Styela clava: one gene and its partner. The protein of the gene in region 2 interacts with the protein of the main gene of each other region in a pairwise test. Links are inferred from orthologs where the notes say so. Each region holds a gene or a part of one and is shown on either strand. Other genes may lie near its edges. The genes, in order: large ribosomal subunit protein P1-like and large ribosomal subunit protein uL10-like.

Region 1 (12,436 bases), on a different chromosome or scaffold from region 2:
ATATCATATTATACTCGTGACTATCTATATCATTCAGAATTACTTTTATAAGTTGTCGGCATTTTGCGGATTATATTCGAATTTGGGCTCATACATTACAGTTAGCATTAGTAACATTGCAAAAAAACCTACCGATATTTTTGGTGTTCCCTTATGTGATATTAGATTTTGTTTTGTTTTTCGTGCTAACATATTCTTTTTTTATGTGATTCTCCGTCATGTGAATCTTATTTATGTATTTAATAATTACCAGTACCAGCTTAATGTGCTTAAACGTATCTTTTTCTCCGATGTGCTTTTCTCGGAACATTTAATTCTGAGTAGGATCAGTTTATTCGTAATTAATATTATTAAAAGTTGTTATATTCCGCGTGGGAATCGGTTGAAAACTGCAGAATATTTTTCTGCTGAAATTCTGCTGGATTCACAGTGGTCTTTCCAACGCGTCCATGAAACCCAGCCTGCTTCTACGTCATCTTAGAACGAACCACGCTGATAGGAAAAATCGAGATCAGAGCTACTTCCGGCGACTTGCGGAGCAAATGAAGCGGAAGCGTTTGGACAGAACTGGCTTATTCCACCAGAAGGGGACAGAGATTGTCAAAGCGTCGTATGATGTCGCTTTCTTGGTGGCTAAAAGCATTACAGCTCATACCATTGCAGAGTCTCTCATAATGCCGGCAGCAAAGATTTTGGTCAGACGTGTGATGGGAGAGGAGTCCGTGGCAAAGTTGGACAGTGTGTCCCTCTCTAACAATACTCTAAAGCGCCGTATCGAGGAGATGTCAGTTGACATTGCCGATCAAGTTACTGCGGGAGTAAGAGCTTCAAAATTTGGGTTTGCAATACAGGTCGACGAATCTACAGATGTTTCGAACTGCAGTTAACTACTTGTCTATGTCCGTTTCACACAGGATAATGCTGTAAAAAACAGAATTACTGCTGAGCCAAGAGTTGTGCAGTACAACAAAAGGAAAGGATGTTTTCAGCGTTCTAGACCAGTGGTTCCCAAACTTTTTGTACCATCGCCTCCCTACACTAGTTTATACAACTTCATCGCCCCCGGCACTGCAAAAAAAATTGAAAGGCTGAAACGAATATATTACAGACCAAATAAGAGGACAAATCATAGTTTATAGCAGGGGTTCCCAAACCGCGGGCCAAATCCGGCCCGCGTAACGATTTAAAATGGCCCGCCGTGCTTAAGTGAAGATTTTGTTTCTACCTTTTTGCAAACTAGATACCGCCAATTGTTATGTCATCATCGCAGTCTAAGCTCGTGTTTATCATAGCAATTCGATTATAGCTGTATCTCAAATATACGTACCGGTTGGAATGCATCGTTTCTTTTTATTCCACAATCGTGATGTAATGCATTTTCGCTAAACAACGAGAAAAAAATACACTTTTCAAAGATTTTTAGAAAAGTTGGTACATATTAGACCCGTAGTAGTATATATTTACGATTAGACTGTGTTTTGGCTTTGTACTCATTTGTCAGTTTCTAGTTGTATTTTTGAAATTTAAAATTAGAACAAATAACCCGATTTTGCAAAATAGTATACTCTCACTTCTTAGAGCCAAGATTGAAATGTAATTTTCCAGACTAACGATTGACGGATAACTTTGCTATTGGACACGAAATTGATTAATGAAACGTCATGCTAAAATTCTCGTGAACGTTGTGGCTTACCTTAATATTATTTAAAAAAAAAAATTCTAAATTTTCAGTCATAAAAATAATATAAGTCGCCGGAAGACCTATAAATATATACATATATTCACGGGTGCTATGGGGTCGAATATTTGTAATCATCCCAGCAAGTCGGCGCTAAGTTACACAACTGAAACATTGTCATACCGGTAGTCGAGTAGCCCTGACCTAGACTATGACTCAGACTTCAGCGATTTGTCCTCTTTGCCAGCGAACTATTCTAGTTCTGAAGGAATACAACATTTAACTTCATTACGAGTCAAACACACAAGTTTCAAAAATGTGTCCAATGTGAATCTACTAAATCCCAGCTAAACCGCAGCGCACTTTCGGCCCGTGAACATGCTTTCGATTCTAATTTTGGCCCGCGGCTAATAAAGTTTGGGAACCCCTGGTTTATAGTGTTTTTTAATGAGATGGACGATCTTGGTGTTCTTCGACGAGTTTTTTTATTATATCTAAAATTACCCCGTTTACTGATGGAAAGGCAATTTAGTTGTTTTGATAGCAATAGTGTCACGGCTGAAAACTCTCTTTTCACCATATCAGAGGTCGGATATGAAAGAATCCAGGGTTCTACCTCCTCAAAAACCGCCGTGTATTCTTGCCTTATAACATTTAACTCCCTAAATCCACCCCGTTTCACATTAAAATAATGAAAACAAAATTAATTTTTCAAAACTTATAATAATGATTTAGGTACATGTCATTCATCCCTGCAGCCTGACGACCTTCACCAAAATACATGATATATATAGGGTCTTCGGTAAAATTCATCCCCCACGCCTCATCCTACCACGTCCTCCAGTCCGATCACCAGAACGTTTTCCCACCGACTGAATGTTATCCTGGTGAAAAACTTTTTTCGTAAGCCAGGCTAGCTACGTCAACTTCTCCAACCACTTATTTTTCGTCTCAATTAAGCTCAGTTAGAACTATAGTTGGTGTATCAACTTGTGCTCCTTTCCCCTCAGCGTTTAATCTCACTATATTACCCATATTTAAATACTGTACATATATATAGTAAGTCCTTGCGTGACGTTGCTCAGGTACAAGTGTGTGTCATCTTCTTGATCTCCTATCATGATATACTGGGAGCATCATGTTTTCTTCGATTGTGAGGGCTTTATTTTGTTCTGAGAAAAGCAAATTTAGCATAAATAACTAATTTATTCACAATATAGTGAATACTCTCATGACCTTCTCTGCGGCACAGCCAGTCCATAGAATTGAGCAGCCATTTGTTTTGGATTCGTGGACCCGGATGGCTTATGGGGTCGGTAAATTTTAAGTCGCTCGCGGGACAATATTATGATTGCTATTCTTTTGCGGATCGCATTCTTACAAAAATTAAGCAGTGATGAATCTCTCGAATAGAATATGAATTTGATTTCCTTATTGCATTGCAACATATCCGAATATTTACTGCGCTATTGAACCCCTGCACTCAGCATCAACTTTTCTGCGCGTTTCCATTTGTCTAATTATAATTAAATTGTAGGCTATTTAAACGAGTAGCTAGCTGTTCAATATAATTTTTAGAATATAATAAAATTTAGTCTAAACGTGTCTCACGATAAATTCTGTTACGTAAAAAGAAATGTAATTTACTCCTCGAGCGTAGATGATAAATAAAATTAATTCATCGTTAAAACCGCCGTTTGGATGTTTCCCCTGGCAAAGACTTCCTTGTTTACTTGGCCAATCAGCAAGATGCAAAAATATCGCCCACTTTGGGAATCACTGTTCTAGACAATTTCTTCAAGCTGAATGGACTGGATTGGCTCAAACTAATCGGATGCACGACAGATGGGGCTCCGGCCATGCTTGGTCGAAAGTCTGGGTTTCAAGCCCATGTGAGAGCCGTGTCACCAAACGTCACCGGTGTACACTGTTTTATACACAGATTCGCCCTTAGCGCCAAGATACTTCCACCGAAGTTGTTATCGTACTTGAACCGAATTATTAAAATTGTAAATTTTGTTAAAGCGTCAGCTCTAAATAGTCGCCTGTTTAAGCTGATCTGTGAAGATCTCGGTTCCGATCACACTTGTCTTCTCTATCACACAGAAGTGCGCTGGCTCTCCAGGGGAAATACAACAAAACGTATTTTTCAATAGAGGAACAAACTACTTGCGTTTTTACGGGAGAAAGATCACGAGTTTCAGAAAGATCTGGAGGATGAGGGATTTGTCATAAGGTTGACTTACTTGGCATACATTTTTGAAACCATCAACCGTTTAAATTTGTCATTTCAAGGACCAAACTGTACTATCGTAGAGTTCATTCAAAACTGAGAGCGCTTGTCCGGAAGTTGGACCTCTGGAAAAATAACGTAGAAAGCAAGCAATATGGAATGTTTACATCCGTGACAACCCTTCCCAGCGCGCCCGATGATGAAGTCTCCCACGAAATCGTTGATCACCCGTCACTGCTCAATGCCGAATTGAGGCATTACTTTCCGGATGTTATATGTTGTGCCTACATAACCGATCCATTTTCTATTGATCCAGCCGACCTGCCTGTCGAGCAAGAGGAGCTCATAGATATCCAGGCTGACCAGACTGCAAAGACGAAACACAAAGAATGTTCTCGCAATCAACTTCTGGCTTAGCATGGCTTCCTCATATGTGACGCTTGCTTCTCGCGCTATTCCCCAGCTGTTAATTTTCCCTTCGACGTGGGAGTGAGAGCAAGAGTTTTCATCCCTTACGACTATCAAATCTAAGAAACGAAACAGACTCCTTGAGCCAATGCATGACTTCCGATTAGCTGTGAGCAAATGTATGCCACGCATCGACCAGCTCGTAGAAAATAAACAAATGCAGCCATCATATTAAAAGGATTGTTTTGTCATTTCACTATGTTGCTCTTCTTTTGAATAGTGGCGGAAAAACAATAACATGCACCACATCAATCTTGGCTGATGCGGCCTAGTTTAATAGAATTTGTTGTTACATTTTGCATGAATCAAATACGTTATTATGACGTCACAAACGGTGAGAAATAGCTTTTCGCGCGCATTATTTGTGTAGGTGGTACGCGAGCACTACACCAAATCCCGAGATGGTACGTGGGCGGATAAAGGTTGGGAAACACTGGACTAGACAGTCCACAAACTAATCCTGAACTGGACCATGGTAATCTGTCTGATATACGTTATCATGAAGACCTGTACCTTTATCGCTAATTCCAACATACAACAGCTGCCATAGCTTCTACCAATAAATCTATACCTGCCATAACAAAATGCAACATATTTGCGCTGTCGATTCTTTTATTTCTTCAGTTCTGGAAAAAACGAGAATACAAATTATATCAAAGCTCTACGTTCAAGTTTGCAATTGCAAACATTATTAATCAAGAGCATGGTGATTTTAATCACTTATTTCTACAACAAAACTTAAATGTCTGCTGTCCATGTACCGTTTCATATATTGAATACCCTTGAGTAAATTTGAACGAACTGGCTTTTTAGGACAGGCCACATTTTTTGGGAATAACTGGCTTCGGTATGGTGATTATATTATGCTAGCAAATTCAAACTTAAGGGTACAGCAAACAATAACTAACCCCATTAGCTGCTGTTTTCATTAAATCCTGGTTGCTCAGTGGGATAGGATTATCTTCATTTGAGACATCGCTTGCGCTTAAATTTTCATCATTGCAACCAATAAATGAGAAATGGAAATAAGAATCGCGGTTTCTTATATGAGATAACCTGAATAAGTTTGAGCGAACTGGCTTATTTGGACAGACCTCATTTTTTGGGGATAACTATCTTCGGAATGGTGATGATATTATGCTAGTGAATAAAAAAATAAACAGCAAATTTGAACTTAATGGCACATCAGAGATACATACATTATTTAATCAAACAGTCCGAATCCCATGTCATCATCGGATTCTTCTTCAGACTCTTCTTTCTTTTCTTCCACTTTAGCTAAAATATGAATTGGTTATCAGTTGGAGCACAAATTTGATAATTCATGTACCCAAAGAAAAGATTTATTATTAGGTTGCTCAGTGGGATAGGAATATCTTCACATAAAATCTGTTTGCGCTTTAGGGTGTCATCATAGCAACCACATCCTTTTACCTTCACTTTTGGTTTGAAATGAATTTCATGTGAAAGCATTAGTAAATCACTCTCTTTTAATAACAAAGAATACCATATATTTCATTGGCTAATGTCACAATAATTACAAATGTAGTATTATTGTTCCATTTCATTAGTTATAATTTTCGTTTTGCATCTAGACTTGAAAAAAAAATTAGCTAGAAAAATTTGTATGGAATTTGTCTTACCTTCCTCAGCACCGCCCTCTGCCGCTGCAGCACCTCCACCACCTGCCGCTGCACCTCCACCTCCAGCACCAACATTACTGATCAGTGATTTCACATCAATACCGTCAAGAGCCTGAAAATCCACCATTGAAAAAATTAAAATGTGTTAATGAACCTTTTTTCCATAGCGACTCGAAATGAAATTATCAATTGTAGAAATATACAAAAAGTTGCTACCGTATAAACACTTCCAACTACTTTCTAAATTGAGAAACCAATGCCATAGTCATGTGAGCGAAGAATGCACCTTAAATACAGGGAGTCCTAGGGTTACAACGGTCGCTGTACACAGTTCCAGTGATGTAGTACTGTACACAGTTTCAGTGATACTGTAAGTCATTTTGGTTGTTTAGGTCAGTTTTTTCGTAACTTGTTTGATCGTTTTTTTTTTACTTTCGCGCTTTGTTATGGACTCAAAGCAAAAAAAAGATGATACTGATGTTAGTGCATCAAGGTTTGCTTTTATTCACGTGATATGGAATTGTTTTATGTTTTTCTAATAAAGTTCTCATTCGCATTATTTGTACATTTCATTAGTGTACAGTACCATACTTTACAATACAGTACGATGTGTATAGAGTAATTCATGCACTGTACCACTGTACGTTCCGACTTACACTGAAATTCGGGTTACACCGAGTCTCAGGAACGGAACTGCGTCGTAAGTCGAGGACTCCCTGTATATGTGATCTGTTCTGCTTTAAGTTTAGTAAGCCCCATTAGCTGCTGTTTTCATTAAATCGTGGTTGCTCAGTGGGATAGGATTATCTTCATTTGAGACATCGCTTGCGCTTAAGTTTTCATCATTGCAACCAATAAATTAAAATTAGAAATAAAAATTGCATCCAACATACTTTTGCAAAAAGGCCGGGCCAATATGACTCCACTGTTACATTGGCAGCACTGGTAAGAGTGGTGATTTTGTCAGCCTGTAGATAAAATAATAGATTAAAATAGTCTGTAACAAAACAAATATTATAAGGCCTATTAATGAACTTAAGTTAACCCACATATTCCTAGTATATTTGTAATGTTAGAACTCGTCAGTACTGTTTATTGGTGGCCATTTCATTCAACCACCCTTCAGACTGTCAGATATAATGGTAAATAATCACAAATTTTCCAACGTGCAAAATGGATTTCGCTTGCATGCATTTTCAGGGAGTACTAGTATACTCAGGTGTGCAGTTGCAACGAAATCCAGTCTGGCTTGTCCCGATTATAATCCTGTAATCGGAAATTAATTGTGGCTGTCACATGACCAAAATTTCATCTTTTTGCTAAAAACTTTCGAATGTTATGGTAAATTTTTTTTCATTCTGGTATCTTGGGATTATTTCTTCTAGTGTATTGTGCAGTGCCGGTTTGCAAATAGAGGCCCAGACTATCTTGTAAAGGAGGGGTTTGCATCCAATTTTATAATTAAAGTCTTTTATTGTGGGTGCTATTCTTGAAATCTGAAAACTGTGCCCTAACTGCCTAATGCAGCAATCAGTAGCGAATTAGCTTGAAGCACTGACCATTATTATTTTAGGACTATCAGACTGTAGGATGAGCCATTTATGGACTTTGCAAACATGCCTCAATTCAGAAATTAGTCCATGATTGCTATGAACACTGGGATTCTGAATAATACCAAACTTAACATTCCCTGCTCTTGGCAGACTGAGGTATACACCCGGCATTGTCAGGAACACCCAACATCAACGTGTCCTGATCTCCTTAACGGTTACAAATCATACCAAGAAAATTGAGATATATAAAAAAAACTGCTCACGGTTATTTCAATTTCATCATCTGTGAGGATCAAAGCAGCGTAAACGCATGCAAGTTCTGAAGTAGACGTCATAGTAAAAGTGTATGTGTGAGATTCAAGAATCGATGGTCAAAATGAACGATGCACGTCGCCGATATAAATCGACCTTAGCCCAAAAGAGAACAGAGCACCTTCAACAGCAATAACACCGTAAAGAAAGACCGAACTACGACCACGTGACTTAACCATTCAACCATGATGTGATTCAATGAGGTTGATTTGAAGGCGGGTGTTTTAACCATTTTATTCAGAACCAATCGAATATATAGAATATTCTGCGGGGGGAAACATGATATATATACTGTATAAGCATAATAGCATACAAATGATATGATAACTGCCGTGATTGATATAAGTTTCCCCGACCCTTGACCCCAAAAAATTCTTTCTATACTTAACAAAATTTTTCGAAACTACTTCCGTGATTTCGCGTTCCCAACCTGGTTTACATGTTCAAACCATTATTTTAATTCAAAACATTCTACCACATAAAGTACCTACCGGTGGATAATTTGAGTTTAGTCTAACGCGGCCGAGGGACTCATTTTTGATTACTTGCAGTCTGCAGTATATATTTACGGCTTACTGAGATCCTTTAAAAACAAAATCATACTTGAGTTAATTAATTAATTCCTTATTTTCGGAAATACAACTAAAAACTGACAATTTGTATTTTTATTAGGCATTTTCTCGACTGCTATGACCCTAGTAGTATGTATTTACACTATGACGACTACTGTATCTAAATAAATTTTATTTTATATGTCTTGAAGTTTACATATACACCGGCGGTCAAGTCCACGGAATAGCCGATTTGTCATTTTCGAGTGCAGATTCCATTCACTTGTAAGCCAAATCATAAATTAAGAGTTAGCCTGATTTTTATAAATGATTTTAATATAAGCCCGCCCCTTGAACAAAATAAGACCTACCGGTATTCGATGGCGCGAAATATTTTTTCTGACGTAGTCGATAGCAAGAAATAATATTTTGTATAATTTAAAATTTCGTGATTTTCTACTTTGTAATTTTGTTTTTGATAAATAAAAATAGAACAAATCTCCCCAAAGTAAGCCCTAGTGTTATTTTCGGGGAAAACGGTCATTTTATGTCATTATGTGTCGGGCTTTTCGTGTCAGCACGGGAAAGTGCTGTATTTTGCTTCGCTGTGACGTGTGGACAGTTTTGGACTTTCATTTGCAATGGCGCGTCTGGTGGTTCCAAGTTTCATTGCTGCATCCTTTTGTGTAATTGGTGATAGCCGTTACTTTCCCAACTTATCGTTCCACTATTTACCTGAAAACAACAAAGCAAGGAGCGCGGATTCAAATATTCATCGCCATTCTATTAAACTTTTTCAAGCAAGTCTGTCTTTTGTTTTGGTAGTCTAGGTTGGGTGACTTGTTAGCTTGCTGGCGTAGACGGTTAGTTAGTAGAGTGTTAGTATTTCTTTGCTTTATCTATATAACGGAATCGCGACTACTTTGAACACAAGTAATAGAATGCATGTATATCAACATGGCAATATATTTTGATATTTTGTTGTTACCGTTTGATCATCCAGTATTCTATTCGACAATCCTTTTATTATTAATTTACTGTGACAAATATTTTTTTTTACCGAGTTTTCGTCCTAATTTTCTCTTTCCCGCTTTTTTACTTCATTAGGCTTTATTATCCCATTCTATTAATTATCAGTGAGAGTTCTGGGTCTGTGGGGAACTGATTGCATTCCACTGTTTTAATTGTGTTAGTGGTTTAATGTTTTGCCCTTTGTATATGCTATGCTTGTTTCGATACCCTTTTTCCTTGATCGATACCGACTTTATGAGTTTTGTGGTTTAATCGTGCCCTTTGCTTTCAAATCAAGAAAGTCAGGTCGAAAAGTATGTTGTTTTTCGTTCAATTTGTAGTATTTTACAGAACCGCCTTGGTCACAGTCAGTGTTCCCTCTAAGGTGTGCGCGCGCACACAGCTTTCAGAGGCTGCGCACACGCATAGATTTACTGCGCACAGACGTATTTGGATGTAATGTAACAATGTTCTCGATTGCAGGTTGGGATTTCCATTTCCAAAAAAGTGCGCACACACCAAAATTTCTGCGCACACATACTACAAAAATTAGAGGGAACATTGACTCACAGTAATCACTCCCGTGTCTTCAGTCGGAAATTTGAGTTGAGGATTCACATCTTTGGTCATCTTCTCGTCTCTGATGATTGCATAATAACGAGTTTTTTACAATGGACGCTCAGTTCCAGACGAGAAAAACATTATTTGTCAATGTCCACACGATGTGCAGAGAGATATTTGTGAGACGGGGAGAATTTGCGGAAATAGAAATCAACGACATAATATCGAAGTTCACGCACAAGCTGACGAAAAGTGTAGAATATGGTTTTAGTTTCCAAACGGGCAAAATACGAAATAATAGCGTAAATATGAGTAACATTTTAAATGAAGCGAAATCCAATGTTTTTCGTTGGTATTCTGACACCGTTTAAATTTGTGCTAGAGGACAATGCGGGACGACGGCGAGGATATTTTGACCCACATTTCACTCCTGCTTTATCACCAATCTGTTATACATATATATACTTTTGAGACTTTCCAGGCGGAAGCTGTCGACGCTTCAAATAGCAGTGAATTTGGACGACCCACAGATTAGTGTCGATGCTCGGACCGAATGTGATTACTTACCCTATTATAAACTGTCCACCTTTCCCTAAGCTATGGCATAGTGAAGTTCCCTACGCGAAGACGCCCTGCCAACAATTCATCGGTTCCTCCTATAAACTATAAATGCAACGTAGGAAATATGTTTCCAGATGGTGGAAGTGGCAAATCAGTAGCTTCAGGAGACTCCTGACAGAGGCTGCCCAACCCGCGGCCCACCAGACTGTTTTCTGTGACGAGCGCTGTAAAGGAGTTTGGGAGCAGATTTTTTGGGTTTTCAGCTTTATATCTAGGCTCAAGTATGTTTCGTGATTTTGGATTGATTGTTCCGGTTATCTAAATATATATATGTATTAGGTCATTGATATTATATATTTCTCGATTATTATATTTCTCGCAGTTGCCTACTGCGCTTTCTGTTCGACGAACTCGAAAGATATTGTGCGATGATCGGCGATGAACGCTGCGCATATATATATATATATATATAAACGAATTTGCAACCCAAATTTAAAAATTAATTTCATTGTGATTGCTATCTTTCGTGTCGGCTCCGATTTCCCTTATAGCCATCCGTCAACGACGTCAAAAAATTGACTTAATTACTGGGATTTTTACAAATTCAACTTAATGTATTCGTTTGGAAATCTTTGTAATATTACTTTTCCAAATACTCATATATATTGGCGATTCGAATTGTACAAATCGCCCACTGAAAAGTAATTAAATTCACGAAACATTGGCACACGCTATGCTCATTTAAAAATTAAACAATATCATAGTCACCGAAAATGAATAAACAAATACAATAACGCAAATATAATATTGAATAAGCGTCTTTGATTGTTGGTAACAAGTGGTGCAGATTCTCTGTGGTCGCCAGAAGTGGTTCACGAGTGCGTTATGAAATCCAAGTCTTTGAAGGAGCGACGCGCAACTGGCGTGCCGTGCCGTGTCCAGGTCACGTTCTACTAGATATTCGAACAGCAAACTGCTATTACTTCTAAAAAAGAGGCAAAATAGTTTCGACCTCTGACTACGTGCACAAAAAACATCTGGTTTGGCTGGAAATCGGTATCGTAAGTAATAACATAAGAGTGGATTGACGAAATCTCTTCCAAAAACTTTAGGCGCTTGGAAGTAGCACTGTTAATTTGTTTGCTGCAATGATGATTTTATTTATCATTATTAGAGCGCAGACGAGGAACCGATATTATCATGGAAACTCGGAAGACACGCACGTAAAATATTTGTTACACGCAAGCAAATTTTCGTTCACAAATATGAAGATTTTGAATTATATCATCATTATTTTAAAACTGGACGGGAAGCCGTGGTTTGCCATATGATTAGGCCGTCATACCGGCTTTCCTCTTCCCGGGATAAATATGTGAATCCTATCCTAAATTGAAGTTCATTGAAATCTCCAATGTAGTCAATGGAAACATCAATACATCACCTCAAAAATTACATAAAACGCGTTTTTTCGAAAGTATAGTTGCGTGAGAAAAAATATTATTTTGGTTGTCCTCATGGAGAAGGACGTCCAGTACTTTGTAGAATGTGAAAAGGGAAGGACTGGCGGAATACAGATTGCCGACAAAATTGTCGATGGGCGAATTTACCACGCCATGCCGATGAAAAACAACAAAATTAGCAGAGTGCAAATCTTGCGCAAGCTCGCCTCTTCGGGTTTTCAAAAGGACTAATTGATTTTCAGAAATACAAGTATATTTTTAAAATTATATTGCACCAATTCGTCATTTCTTCTTTAACAAAATACATTATTCTCGTTTCTGAGCATCTACCCAAACTTGAACTACTCCTGAACTCAAGTTCCCATAACCCTGATGAAGAGATTCACCTTGCAAAATTGTCACAAC
Region 2 (12,436 bases):
TGTCCCGAGGAAAAGTTCTTTCCCGTGTGTTTGAACTTCGCGAGTAATTAGGGGCGTATCACACTGAAAAGGGAGACCAAAAAGCCACCAAGTTTCGTAATATATATTGGGTTGCAAAATTAGCGTACATGGCGTCGATTTTTGATCGTTTTAATCAAGTGAACGTCAGCCTTGAAGGGCAAAGAGGTGATATATTTCGATGAACTAGCGAAATCAATGCTCTGAAGATGAAACTTCAACTCTGGAAAAACAATGCTTCTTCACGAAACTTCATTGACTTTCCTCTTTTAAATCAATATTTGAAAGAGTCTGGGTGGGAGTTTGAGGACGTTTCAACGATATATACCATGTCTACCCTAATTGTTGGTCATTTGAACGTACTGGGTGATAAATTTGCTTTGTACTTTCCCTAAGATAATAACAGACGCCTGGAAGAAAACTCGTGGATAATGCAGCCATTTACTAGTGAACCAACAGAAGACGAAGAATTGTTGGATCTCCGGGAGAATTTAAATCAAAAAATTTCATTCCGCGAAATGGATTACTCGGGAGTTCTGGGTTTCTCTTTTTAAATTTGCCGATCACAAAAATCTGGCAGAAAAGGCCGTTGCTCTCCTGGTACAAATGCCTACGACTTATTTGTGTGAAGAAGGGGATTCCAGTCTTGTTGAAATTAAGTCGAAAAAGCGAAACTCAATACTTGATATTGATTGAGCAATTGAAAAGGAACTTAAACCCTGTTATGAACAAATTGCCGAAACTATACAAGAACAAAGAAGCCACTGGAACTAAATTAACATTGTCTTTACTTTTTTTACACATTTGGATGTTAAATTAATTGCATCTGTGAGTAAAAACTAAAAGAAGCATTTATAAGGACTAGCCCCGCCACCTAGATTTTAGTTTTTTTCAATATGTGCCTAACGTTTAATGTTCATTTTAGCTTGAAATAAACATTGGTATTTGTAAGGTATACGAAGTTCTCGAAAAATTGTAAAAGGTATACCACGGTGAAAAGGTTGAAGAACACTGATATAGACAAAATATAGATAAAAGGACGCGACAGGACCGTGAAAGTAACATTACGACAATCGGAGTAAACTACCTAATTCACCCACGAAAAATCATAACTCTGCATCTACATAAATCACTCATTATATCATCACGTAATATGGTAATAATATGGTATACCGATAATATGGTATCTTGCCATAACAAATATGGGAACAATTACGCGCGTCATCAGATCACTACGAATTAGGCTTGGCACAACGCGAGTCAAGGTGGATCAGTTTATGATACGTTTATTTCAACTGCACAATCAGCAATAAAACGATATAGTATATATATGAAACTGAGATGATAAAATAATTGAATAATTCAATAATGAGTCCTAGTAGCCTATCGGCATATCTGTGTCGAGTAAACGTTCGAGATACATGCGCATGGGTAGCGTAAGAAAATGTGACCATGCCAATTCCATGGTGCTATGCGGTCTACCGTTGCTCTGTACTTATGACAATGCTTTGTTGGCATAACCTGGCGCATCTCAGCGGTCTTGATCCCGTCATGGTTTCGTTGGGAAATAGTCAAAGGCGGAACTGTTGGTCTGTTAATTTTTCTCAAGGTTGGAATTATACATTTATGACCATTATTAACTCACGTGCTTCGATTAAATCGAGACAAGTTAAATTTTAAACTGATTCCACTGAATAGCTGATTCCTTCGCCATTATTGCTTGGGTAGGTTTTGTTGTTTACCAAAATGACATAAGATTCGATATTAGATTTAAACCTTTTTCGATTACTAATGTGCCATCAAAGCATTCAATACGACGCTTCATGGTAACAGACGGGGCTATAAATGAAACATATTATTTTCTGTACTACCGAGCTTATCCAATATTCTCCAACTCGGCAATTTCAACTGTTTTTTAATACAATAAAGCTACAACATTCATCATTTCGTCCCGCTATTTCTTTTGCTCACAAAGAGATCAGAAATGAAATTAAGATAGACATGATTTTCCATGTGAAGTTAGGAATCGAGCAAAATTGTTGACAATGCCAAAGATTCACGTTAAATAATGTTTCAGACCATCGTTGATTTATCCGCAAACATCCTTTTCACGGCACGAATCTGAAATAAAGATAGAATTTCTAGTTTTCACCGAGGGAAAAGAATAAATAGTCAGATAAAATAAATACCTGAAATGCACAAATCGTCAGTATGAGTAAGACCGACAAAGCAGAAAAATTGTTGATCATATTAAGATTGGATGTTGTTGTTAAAAAATCGTAACGAATCGATGATCTCACTTCCACGGTATCAGTTCTTATTCGTCCAAGCCTTCTGATTATGCGGTATATTTTATCCTAAATTTAAAAAAGATATCATCGAGAATAGTGTACTGGAATATTATACTTCAATGACATTCATTAAACAACGTATTGTGTATATATAAGTTCATATTAGTTCAAGCATTCTGGTTATACGGTATATTTTGTTCTGAATTCAAAAAGGAAAATTGATGATAATTATTATACAACGTAAATTATGAGTGGAATGAATTTATAATAAAACAATTTTTACATACAAAAAATTTTCAACTCTCAAGTTTCAGAATATAGGTATGAATTTAGTCCTGGTTTTGAAATTTACATTAGTGACATGGTACTCCAAGAAGTATTGCACGACGTTTGTACTTACAGCCATACTCAGAGTACTTTCATCATTCACAGTTTTGCGGAATGCTCTCACATATCCAAATCGATATATATCCAAGGATATTTGTGTAAGTATGAGACTGTTTGATTCCATGTTGACAAAACAGATCCCGTATGTTGCTGTAACAAAAGTCATTGGTTATCATTATTTTTTAGCAATATCATAATTTTATAAAAAATTAGATCGTTTATTGAGAAGTTGAATATTACACATTCATTATTCGAACATGAGTAGGCATATTATGCGCACCCCAAAAACCCTTGTCACCGAACAATGAAATAGTAAAATCAGTCATTATCACTCCTAAGCACGTTGACTATGAATATTTTTATTTTAATTTCTTAGCGAGGATTTTAAACATACAATATGGATTTGGACAAAAGAAAACGGAACAAATGTTGGGAAAACACTAAGAAACACATGTACCTCTTGTGCATGGTATAAATTTTACACTATAGTAAGTATATAAATATATTCATATGAATCTACATATACAGTATATACAAATACAGTATACATATACAGTATATACAAATGGATTATACTGTGAAAATATAAATATTGCACTCACACTTGAATACATACAAATTTAATTTAATACACAACCATACCTTTGTTGAAATCATCGATTGATTTTATAATGCTTTTAAATACCCATGTGATAATTTTTATGTGAGGGTGCCCAATGCGCGTAGCATTTGAGCGATTGTCCTGGTAGTGTAATACAGACCCTGTTTGTCTGCAAACATCTCGAAATGACCCCTTCTCACGCTGTTCGTGTTGTTGATTATTGTTCCATCCTCTAAAATATACAGAAAAGCTGATATTTTCCCATCTGAAGTAAATGTCGATGGCGATAAAGCCTGAAATGTTGGAAAAAAGACACGTCAATACAAATCGGATGTGTTGCATTAGAACCCTTGCATGCACTATTCTCTTTTCATTTGTTTACTATTTGCTTTGAAAAATAACTGATTACAGAACATTATTATTACTGACAATACATCGGGGGTTCCTGTATTTATTACGTATATCCATCTCTTGAATATTTTTGCATTACTGCAGTGTCTCCAAAATGTCGTGTCCCACTTGTACCACGTGTCCCGCGTGTCCCACTTGTTACACGTGTCCCGTGTCCCACTTCTCCGGGACAAGTGGGACACGTTGTACAAGTGGGGCAAGTGGGACACGTGTTACAAGTGAGACAAGTGGGACACGTGGTACAAGGGGGGCAGGTAGGACACGTGAGACAAGTGGGAAACGACATTTTGGAGACACCTTGTTAGGCTCTCTCATTATATAAAATAAGACATACCTGGAAATTAAAAATTAACTCTGTCGAGTTTTCAACTTCTTGCATGAAGCACTCTGCTTTATCTTGGTTGATCATTACTCTGAAATCGTACGCAGTGTGTGGCTTATCATCTGCCAAATCCCCGACAAAATGAATATATTTCTTAACCGAATCTCTCACTTCTGCCGCATAAAGAAAGAACAGATGAATGAAAAGTATAAACCAATGGTAAGTTTTTATTCAACTAATATTAATTTGAAAGAGCCAGAGCAATCAATACATATAAGGTATAGTAAATGCGCCGCAATTTGGAAAGCACGCGAATAACCAATTTAAAGCGTTTTAGCAGGGTTAAATGATCGAATACTTAATGTCGTGACTTACTGCAGCAGTTCCATGAGTCCATGATTCATTAAAAATAATTTTATTTGAATTCCAAATAGATGAAATAAAAATTTAATGCTTTAAGCATGTACAAATGTGGTGCTTCCGTGGCCAAGCGGTTAGAAAATTCAGACTGAAAACTATGACTTCATTCTACTTATTCAGTTTTGTAAACTTGGTCGTATTATTTTACTTTTATATATATTTGAATATATTCGCACACTGAATTTTTTATTTACAAACTACGACAATTACAAACAACAGCTAGACCTAGGTTGCAGCCATCTTTTACATATATCCAAATTATCATGGAGTGAAAAATATAGTAAAAAAAAAACATGAAAAATACCACTTTACCTTTGATCTGCAGTCTATCAGGCCGCATTGCTTGAATCTTCGGATAATGGAAGCAAACGAGTACATAGGCTAGAATAAAACAGCGGCCGTGTTTACTTATGTGACAGCTCATTTTATATGATTCCAATCATCACACAAAAATCACTTCAGTATTTTGGTGAAAAGACGAAAAGTAAGACGCTCTAAAAATGAAGAAAAAATAGTTCTATTGCCGTATTCCAGAACCCTTGGATCCCTACACCTTCCTATAACACCTATGCTTACGTGTCGTAATTAAACGGCTAACCACGGAAAGCTTATATATATATATATATATATATTTCGTGAAACTAAACGAATGCATTTTTTTTTTTTGTAATACAATGTACTCAACGAATGTACGCTTACTTAGTGCAGCTTTCTCGTATTTCCTGTAATTGAATTGTTTCCTTTTGTGATGTTAGAATTCGTAGAATTTTTACCGACGACTATGCAGAATAAATTAATGACGACTCAAATGTGCTTGTTCATAACTATGCCACAGTGTCATAATAAGAATAATACTATAGCATGCTCAATATGTTTATACAATATAGTTTTATGAAGTTTTAGCATCGATCAATTGATCTATGCACTGCCCAACTGTGTCATGCCCACCAGCAACAAAAAATTATATTTTCTACCCCAATATTTCTCAAGCAGTGTTGACATGTCACGTATATATAGCCATTATAAATAAATTTTTATAAAATAACTTTTATGCCTCACCAATTTCAGCGAAAGTTGATATTGAAGTTAGCGGGGAGATAATTGGCCCAGAACTACAGTAAGCTCTTTTCAATTTTTCAGTTGTGGAAATGAAATTCTGCTTAAATTTTTGTTTTTCATACATAAGAAACGATTCTTTATATACAAAGGGTTACAAACAAAGTCGAACATTTCTCTGTTTTCTGTGTTTCCGCTTAATATCTGATTAAATCTAATTTAAAATAATCTAATCGGGTTACAATTTGTATCTTCAGAGTTATTATTACATGTGAAAACATAATCCCATTTAAAGACTATGTTTTAATTATCCCAGAGGCCAAGCGCTATAGTGATTAGTTATCACTACACATAGATTGTTTGTAGATTGATCTTGTTTATGTATTATAACCCCAGCATTGACTGACAATAGTTTTGTCTTGCATTCGTCAACTCGAACGTCTCCTTACTACAGCCGAAGGCTATCGACAGATAGACAGTTCGAGTTGACAAATACAAGACAAAACTATTGTCAGTCAATGCTGGGGTTATAATACATAAACCAGATCAATCTACAAACAATCTATGTGTAGTGATAACTAATCACTATAGCGCGACCACGGCATCTGAAACTCGATTCCCAGGCGTAGTGTACACAATTGTAGTTTTATACGGGCTCTGATTTCATGATATCCCGTTTTTTTCATACGTTGTTATCAGTACTCAAACGTGTTGAGGGTTAATTCATCGTGGTGAGCTTCAGTTTAAGGGCAGTGGTTCTCAACGGTGGGGCGTAGACAATGTTTTGAGAGGACGTGAAGCTATTTAAAAATTAAAATATTGGTTTGATTGCTTTATATTGAATATTTACATTTCTTATTTTGTCAGCTGAAAACAACTGTAGTAATAAAAATAACAACAATTTTGCGTGTTTTCAAAACTTTTAATTTATTTCATTATTTAATGTCATTGGTTCCATCGACGTATTTTCAACGTGTTTTTTGAATAAAACATACTTTCACCTTACTATCTGTTATTTGTAGCTTATTGTCAGCTAGGTATTTTTGAAGTGGGGCGCGAGACTTGGGTAAATTCTAAAAGGGGGCGCGGCTCAGAAAGTTTGAGAACCATTGGTTTAGTGGTTTGCGGTTCGATTCTCGGGGGTGATGTATATTTTCGATATTGTTCTGGCAGTATTCACAGGGTTGTCATGTTACTGCTGACCGACTTTTTCTGTCGTCTAATACCACAATATAAGACCCAACATATATGCAATATCGATATAATGCTAAAAAACCTGCGCAATCTCTATCCGTAAATAAATACTAATTCGCTCAAACTCTAAGTCAGTGAAGCGTGGAAATGATTTAGTTGAAAACTGTCACGTGTCTGCGATCGGTCCTTTCTCGCCTGACCGTCGAGGTTGGTTGTCGTCTTTTTCTAATCTATTATAATCGATTGATCATGAACCGTTTTCGCATAAAAATAGTGATGTTCTTTTTACATATATTTACAAGTTCTAGGAAAGACAAGATATGTCATCTTTTTTTATGCTACGAGATGTACGTTGATGCAATATCATGAGTTTGTTTCTTCAGATCCTCGCTTTGTCTTTAAAACTCCAAACGGAAATCCTTGAGCACAACCAAGATGCCCAGGGAAGACAGAGCAACATGGAAGTCGAACTACTTCTTAAAAATGATTGTAAGTGATTTAATATGTTTTATGAAGTTCTTGTGTACAGTTGAAAGATACTAGGTACCGTATTTATTCAATTATAACGCGCACTCGTGTACCAGTCTGGATTTCATGGCCTTTTTGAACGAGAAATCGGGCGTGCAATCAGAAATTCCCGCGTGCAAATAAGAATTCCTGGCGTGCAATTATAGCTCACGACGTGCAAAACAACTGCACTCGCGTGCAACTGACTTTGACATCAGATACCTCTCAATACATCCGCGTAAAATTACCGGTATCGGATAAAAAATACGTTGAATCAGAGAAAAAATGGACGTTTGACCTTTGACCCCAAACATTATTTCTACAGTTTGTCGCTAATTTTGAGAGTGTTTGTGCGACTTTGGATACCGGTACTGTTCAGTACATCCGCGTAAAATTATTGGATAAAAAATACGTTGAACCAGAGCAAAATGGACATACATTGTCATTAATTTTGGTAGTGTTTTTACGCAGAATTAATGGATAAAAAATACGTCAAATTAGAGCAAAATGGACGTTTGACCTTTAACCCCAAACATTATTTTCATACTTTGTTACTAATTTTGGGAGTGTTTGAGCAACTTTAGATACCGGTACTGTTCAGTACATTCGTGTAAAATTATTGTATGAAAAATACGCTGAATCAGAGCCGTATTTGGCCATTGGTGCGGAGGCGATCTTTTCGTCCATAACTATTCTCACGGGATTCCTACTTCCTATCATTCAACACGATATGGACCTTTCCCCGAGCATCGACTTCCTTGTTTACTTCGTGACATTGGCCAATCAGCAAGATGCAAAAAAGGACGTAACAATGAGAGGAATTTTTCGCGGGTCAAAGGTTGGGGAAAGGTCCATGGTCTTTTTGCTTCGCAATATTTCGATCAGACCAAATCTTGCAAGCTGGTATTTGTCGACAATTGTGGAGTTATAATATTTTGGCATCTTTATATTACTGGATTATTGATTTTAAAACCATTTAAACCGATTTACATTGGTGAGCAATTGCAAATTTTCGGCGTGCAAAATTGATTTCGCTCGCGTGCATTTTTGCGGAGCGCTAGCGCCCTCGGGCGTGCACCTGCCATGGAATCCAGTCTGGCTCGTGTATAACGCGCACCTTTAAATTTTGAATGAAAATTGGTATAAAATTCTTTTTTTTATTTTTTCTCTTCTAACTACTGGTAAGCACATAAGGTAACAACTCACAGCATGAACAAAAATTTATTAAAAGCACACAGTAATTCAAAACTCTTCAAAATCGGATTCAGTCTCTGATTCACCAAACAACTGTTCGATTTCTGTTTGGGTTATGTTTAAATCAGTGCAGAACGTTTTTGTCTTGCCATAATAGATAATGGGTAATATATAATGGGTATCTACAGTACAGTACGATAATGGCAAATAAATATTCTCAACGCAGCAGGAATGTCAAACGCATGCTGAGCTGTCGCATGTGCGTGTGCTTGCACGAAATCGAACGCTTGCACGAATGTCAAACGCACGCTGAGCTGTCGCATGTGCGTGTGCTTGCACGAAATCGTCCTGCATTGGAATGTGCATGCGCGAGCGCACGCACGTTTCAGATGTTTAAAACCACATTTTCAATACCGCATTTCTCAGACCTCGTGTATAACGCGCAGCATTGATTTTTGCCAAAAATTCAGTTCAAAATTTTGCGCGTTATAATCGAATAAATACGGTATATATATATTTATTCATTTTAGTGCCAATACTTGGCATAAGCGAGGTAAATTCTGAAAATTGCATGGGTTTTGGTAACTTCTTTAATGAGGCGCAGTTCTTACCACTTCATGGCAGCTCCTGCCACAAACAGACCACGCCGTCTCCCGCCATGGTTTTATGGCGCTATTACCGGTATATTTACAAATTCATGTACCATATTTTAGTTTATCATGCGGAATTAGGGTCTGGTACAGGTATAGTTTTGTAACACATGCACTTCTAGTTGGCCTGGCTCAACAACTTTTGCATATGTCAGTACGGCACACTTTACAGATCGAGAGACAATCTCTTGTTTTAGAGAAACCTATTTTAACGGTGATCGAATATCCCTCCTTCGATGGACGTCTGGCGGATTTTGTCTCCCGATATCGATAAATTGAAGCTGCGCAGTAAACTAACAAAAAGCGCAATCTAAAACCATCACCATTGAATTCCTCGTGAAAATATATTCAGATCTACCGATGTAAAAAAAATTTTACCGGTGCGTTCGAGAGAAATGAGCAAAAAACGATTGACGGCGTGTGACGTCACTGAATTTCAATCGACGCACGCAGGCACGCATCGGCCGTTCCTCGACGTAAACCTTGGCGTGCCGTGTTTCTCTCATTTTCAATGTAGATAGGATGGCGTGTTAACGATAATAAATGGATTACATTTTGATAACACACAATCGATAAACAGTAAAATTAATGCCTCGATATAGCATTAGATGAATTAGTTCATAAAGTAATAATTTAATCTAATGCCGCAACGAGACATTCATATGCCGCAAAATGTGCAACTTGCGTAATTTATACAAGAATAGATCGGCGAAAAACGAGAATCAAATTAGCAAAATAACTTAATATAATGCCACATCGATGTATTCATATGCCGCAAATGTTCAGTTTGCATAATTTATACTAGTATAGATCGGTAAAAAACAAGATTCAAAATAATATAATGTGCCATCGATACATTCATATGCCGCAAATGTTTAACTTCGAAAGTTACGGTATACGAGAATAATTTAATTCAATGCCACATCGAGGCATTCATTTGCCACAAATGTTAACTCTTTTGTTCCGTATAACTTATATATTCGTATTACCATCCTTGGTCATAATAGTTATTTTCGGACTATTTTACGTTTATGTTCATGTTTTGTGAAGTATTCCGCACTAACTAAATCATTTTGAGCATCCAACTATGATCCGTGCTTGATCTGTCAACATTTTGTTTTTTTGTAAATTTTTTATTTTACTACTAAGTGAATTTTATTTGTGTAGGCATTTCAAAGCTTAGAGATACACGAAAGTATTTGTCATTACTTCAAAAATAAGTCATTTGAACGAGCGGGAAACAATTTCGCGCACATAATAAACAAACAAAGATTCCAGACAACTATCGTGGACATGCTCTCACATATCATTGATTATTTCGCGTTTCGCTTCGCTTGCGAAGCTGAGTCTGGTTTTTCTGCAAAGGTGACGTAACCCTCTTTCAGAAGAGCGCTTGGAATTTCGTTTCTTTGTAACACGTGTTCATCGAAGCGATAAGAGTGTGAAACGTTCTCTCAAAATTTTTTGAAATTTCTCTCTTCTTACACGCGTAGGGTCGAACAGTTTCGCCTACGTCATTTGGGCGCGTTTTAGTAGGAAGACGCGAAAATAAGCTTTTTAAAGAGATATTGGGGGTGTTCCTTGTACGTTTGGTTAACTGGTCATTGCATATTATAAAATGGTACATAAAGTCGATTGTATACAGCGGAAAAAAAGGGTTAATCTATACGAAAATAATTTAATTCATATGCCGCAAATGATCAACTTGCGTAATTTACACAATAATAGATCGGCAAGAAACAAGAATCAAATTAGCAAAATAATGTAATATCATGCCGCATCGATGTATTCATATGCCGCAAATGTTCAATTTGCGTAATTTATACTAGTATAGATCGATGAAAAACAAGATTCAAACTAATATAATGCGGCATCGATACATTCATATGTCGCGAATGTTTAACTTCGAAGTATACGGAATACGAGAATATTTTAATTCAATGCCACGTCGAGGCAATCATATACCGCAAATGTTAATTTGCGGGATTTATGCAAGAATAGATAGGTGAAAAACAAGAATCAAATTAATATAATGCCGCATTGATGCATTCGTATGCCGCAAATGATCAACTTGTGTAGTCTGTGAAAAACAAGAATCAATTTGGCAAAATAGTTTAATCCAATTAATCATCGAGGCTTTTATTTTACTATAGATTGTTGACGCTCAAATTTAAATAAAAATCTCGAATATAATTATTAAATGATATCGTAATTCGTAATCGTTGTGCGTTCTGGAAGTTTCAGTTCTAAATAACCGAAGATGCTATGTTAAATTGTTGTAATTACAGGTATTAACGGGCATACAAAGTTTCACTATCGATATTAATTTAACTATTGAAAAAAAAACTTCGATATCGTGCATCGTTTTGACTTCGTTATACGACAATTCAAACGATGTCATGTAGTCACAAACACTTATAATAAAATTAGTTGGACTCGTAGACGTATTAATCGAAACGCATAATTTTGTAATCTCTTGATATTATTTAAAAGTAATTATTTATTCACAGACGTTTGCATTTACGCGACATTATTTTAATTAGGCACTACCAACAGTAGACTGAATATAATGATTCAGAAATACATCGTATATTTAACCATATAGGTCAGTATACATCGGTAAGAAACGAAAATCAAATTAGCAAAATTCGAGAGCCGTGCCGAACTGTGCGTGACTTTCTTTGACGTCATATCCAGACATCTGACGTTCTCACGCATCGAGCTCGCAGACAACTCGACGCCCCCGGTTTCACAGACGCCTATTCATATTTTGGCTCTTCCGGAATGTAGACGCAAATCCGGATTCGGGATAGTGTGCCGTACTGTATGTGTTACCGTAAAAGCAGCTACCTTCGGATGATTTCACTTTATTTTAATCGATAACTCTGCCGTTTCAAACTTGAAATATATTACATTGATGTAATTCTCTGCATTTGCATATAATTTTCTCTAGGATCGGATTATTTTTTCTGTCTTAATTGTCTCATTTTTCGTCATCTGTAACGACACAAATAAATATCTAACTTCGGATGGGTGTATCCCCTCCCTGCGTCACCGCAACTAGAGCGAAAAGTGCGTGCGTGAAGACAAAACACGCTTTACGTCGTTGCGTGAATGCCAGATGTTCAATCGACGTTGCGAGTGACGATGACGACCGTGGGATTTCCGGAGTGGCACTTTCAAGTTGTTTTTATACTAAAATGTCTCGTTTTATTTTCTCTTATCGTAACTTTAGATCCGATCATAGTCGATTTTGTTGTAGCCGATAATGTTTCGATAGCGTTTTTACACTCCACACCATGTATAGTCGCACAATAAATATAATTGAGCATGCACATGACTGGATTCTTTATTAAACTTGACCTACTTAAATGGCGGTCGTGCA

What was found.
Region 1: the proteins of large ribosomal subunit protein uL10-like (region 2) and large ribosomal subunit protein P1-like interact in binary tests that used the Drosophila melanogaster proteins (3 or more experiments, as listed by UniProt). The link is inferred for Styela clava from reciprocal best matches to the Drosophila melanogaster genes RpLP0 and RpLP1.

Annotation. Positions count from the first base shown.
Region 1 is NC_135255.1:4,033,919-4,046,354, reverse strand, and holds large ribosomal subunit protein P1-like, read right to left. Parts: upstream 8,045-12,436; 5' UTR 7,911-8,044; coding exon 7,839-7,910; intron 6,991-7,838; coding exon 6,916-6,990; intron 6,135-6,915; coding exon 6,023-6,134; intron 5,658-6,022; coding exon 5,584-5,657; 3' UTR 5,579-5,583; intron 5,436-5,578; 3' UTR 4,974-5,435; downstream 1-4,973. Other genes in the region: zinc finger BED domain-containing protein 5-like, read left to right, coding at 450-887; translation initiation factor eIF2B subunit beta-like, read right to left, coding at 12,430-12,436. UniProt on the Drosophila melanogaster protein: Plays an important role in the elongation step of protein synthesis.
Region 2 is NC_135261.1:12,848,884-12,861,319, forward strand, and holds the start of large ribosomal subunit protein uL10-like, read left to right. Parts: upstream 1-6,875; 5' UTR 6,876-6,907; intron 6,908-7,083; 5' UTR 7,084-7,135; coding exon 7,136-7,189; intron 7,190-12,436. Other genes in the region: uncharacterized protein LOC120330259, read right to left, coding at 2,092-2,139, 2,208-2,375, 2,710-2,846, 3,458-3,590, 4,043-4,203, 4,763-4,874. UniProt on the Drosophila melanogaster protein: Ribosomal protein P0 is the functional equivalent of E.coli protein L10.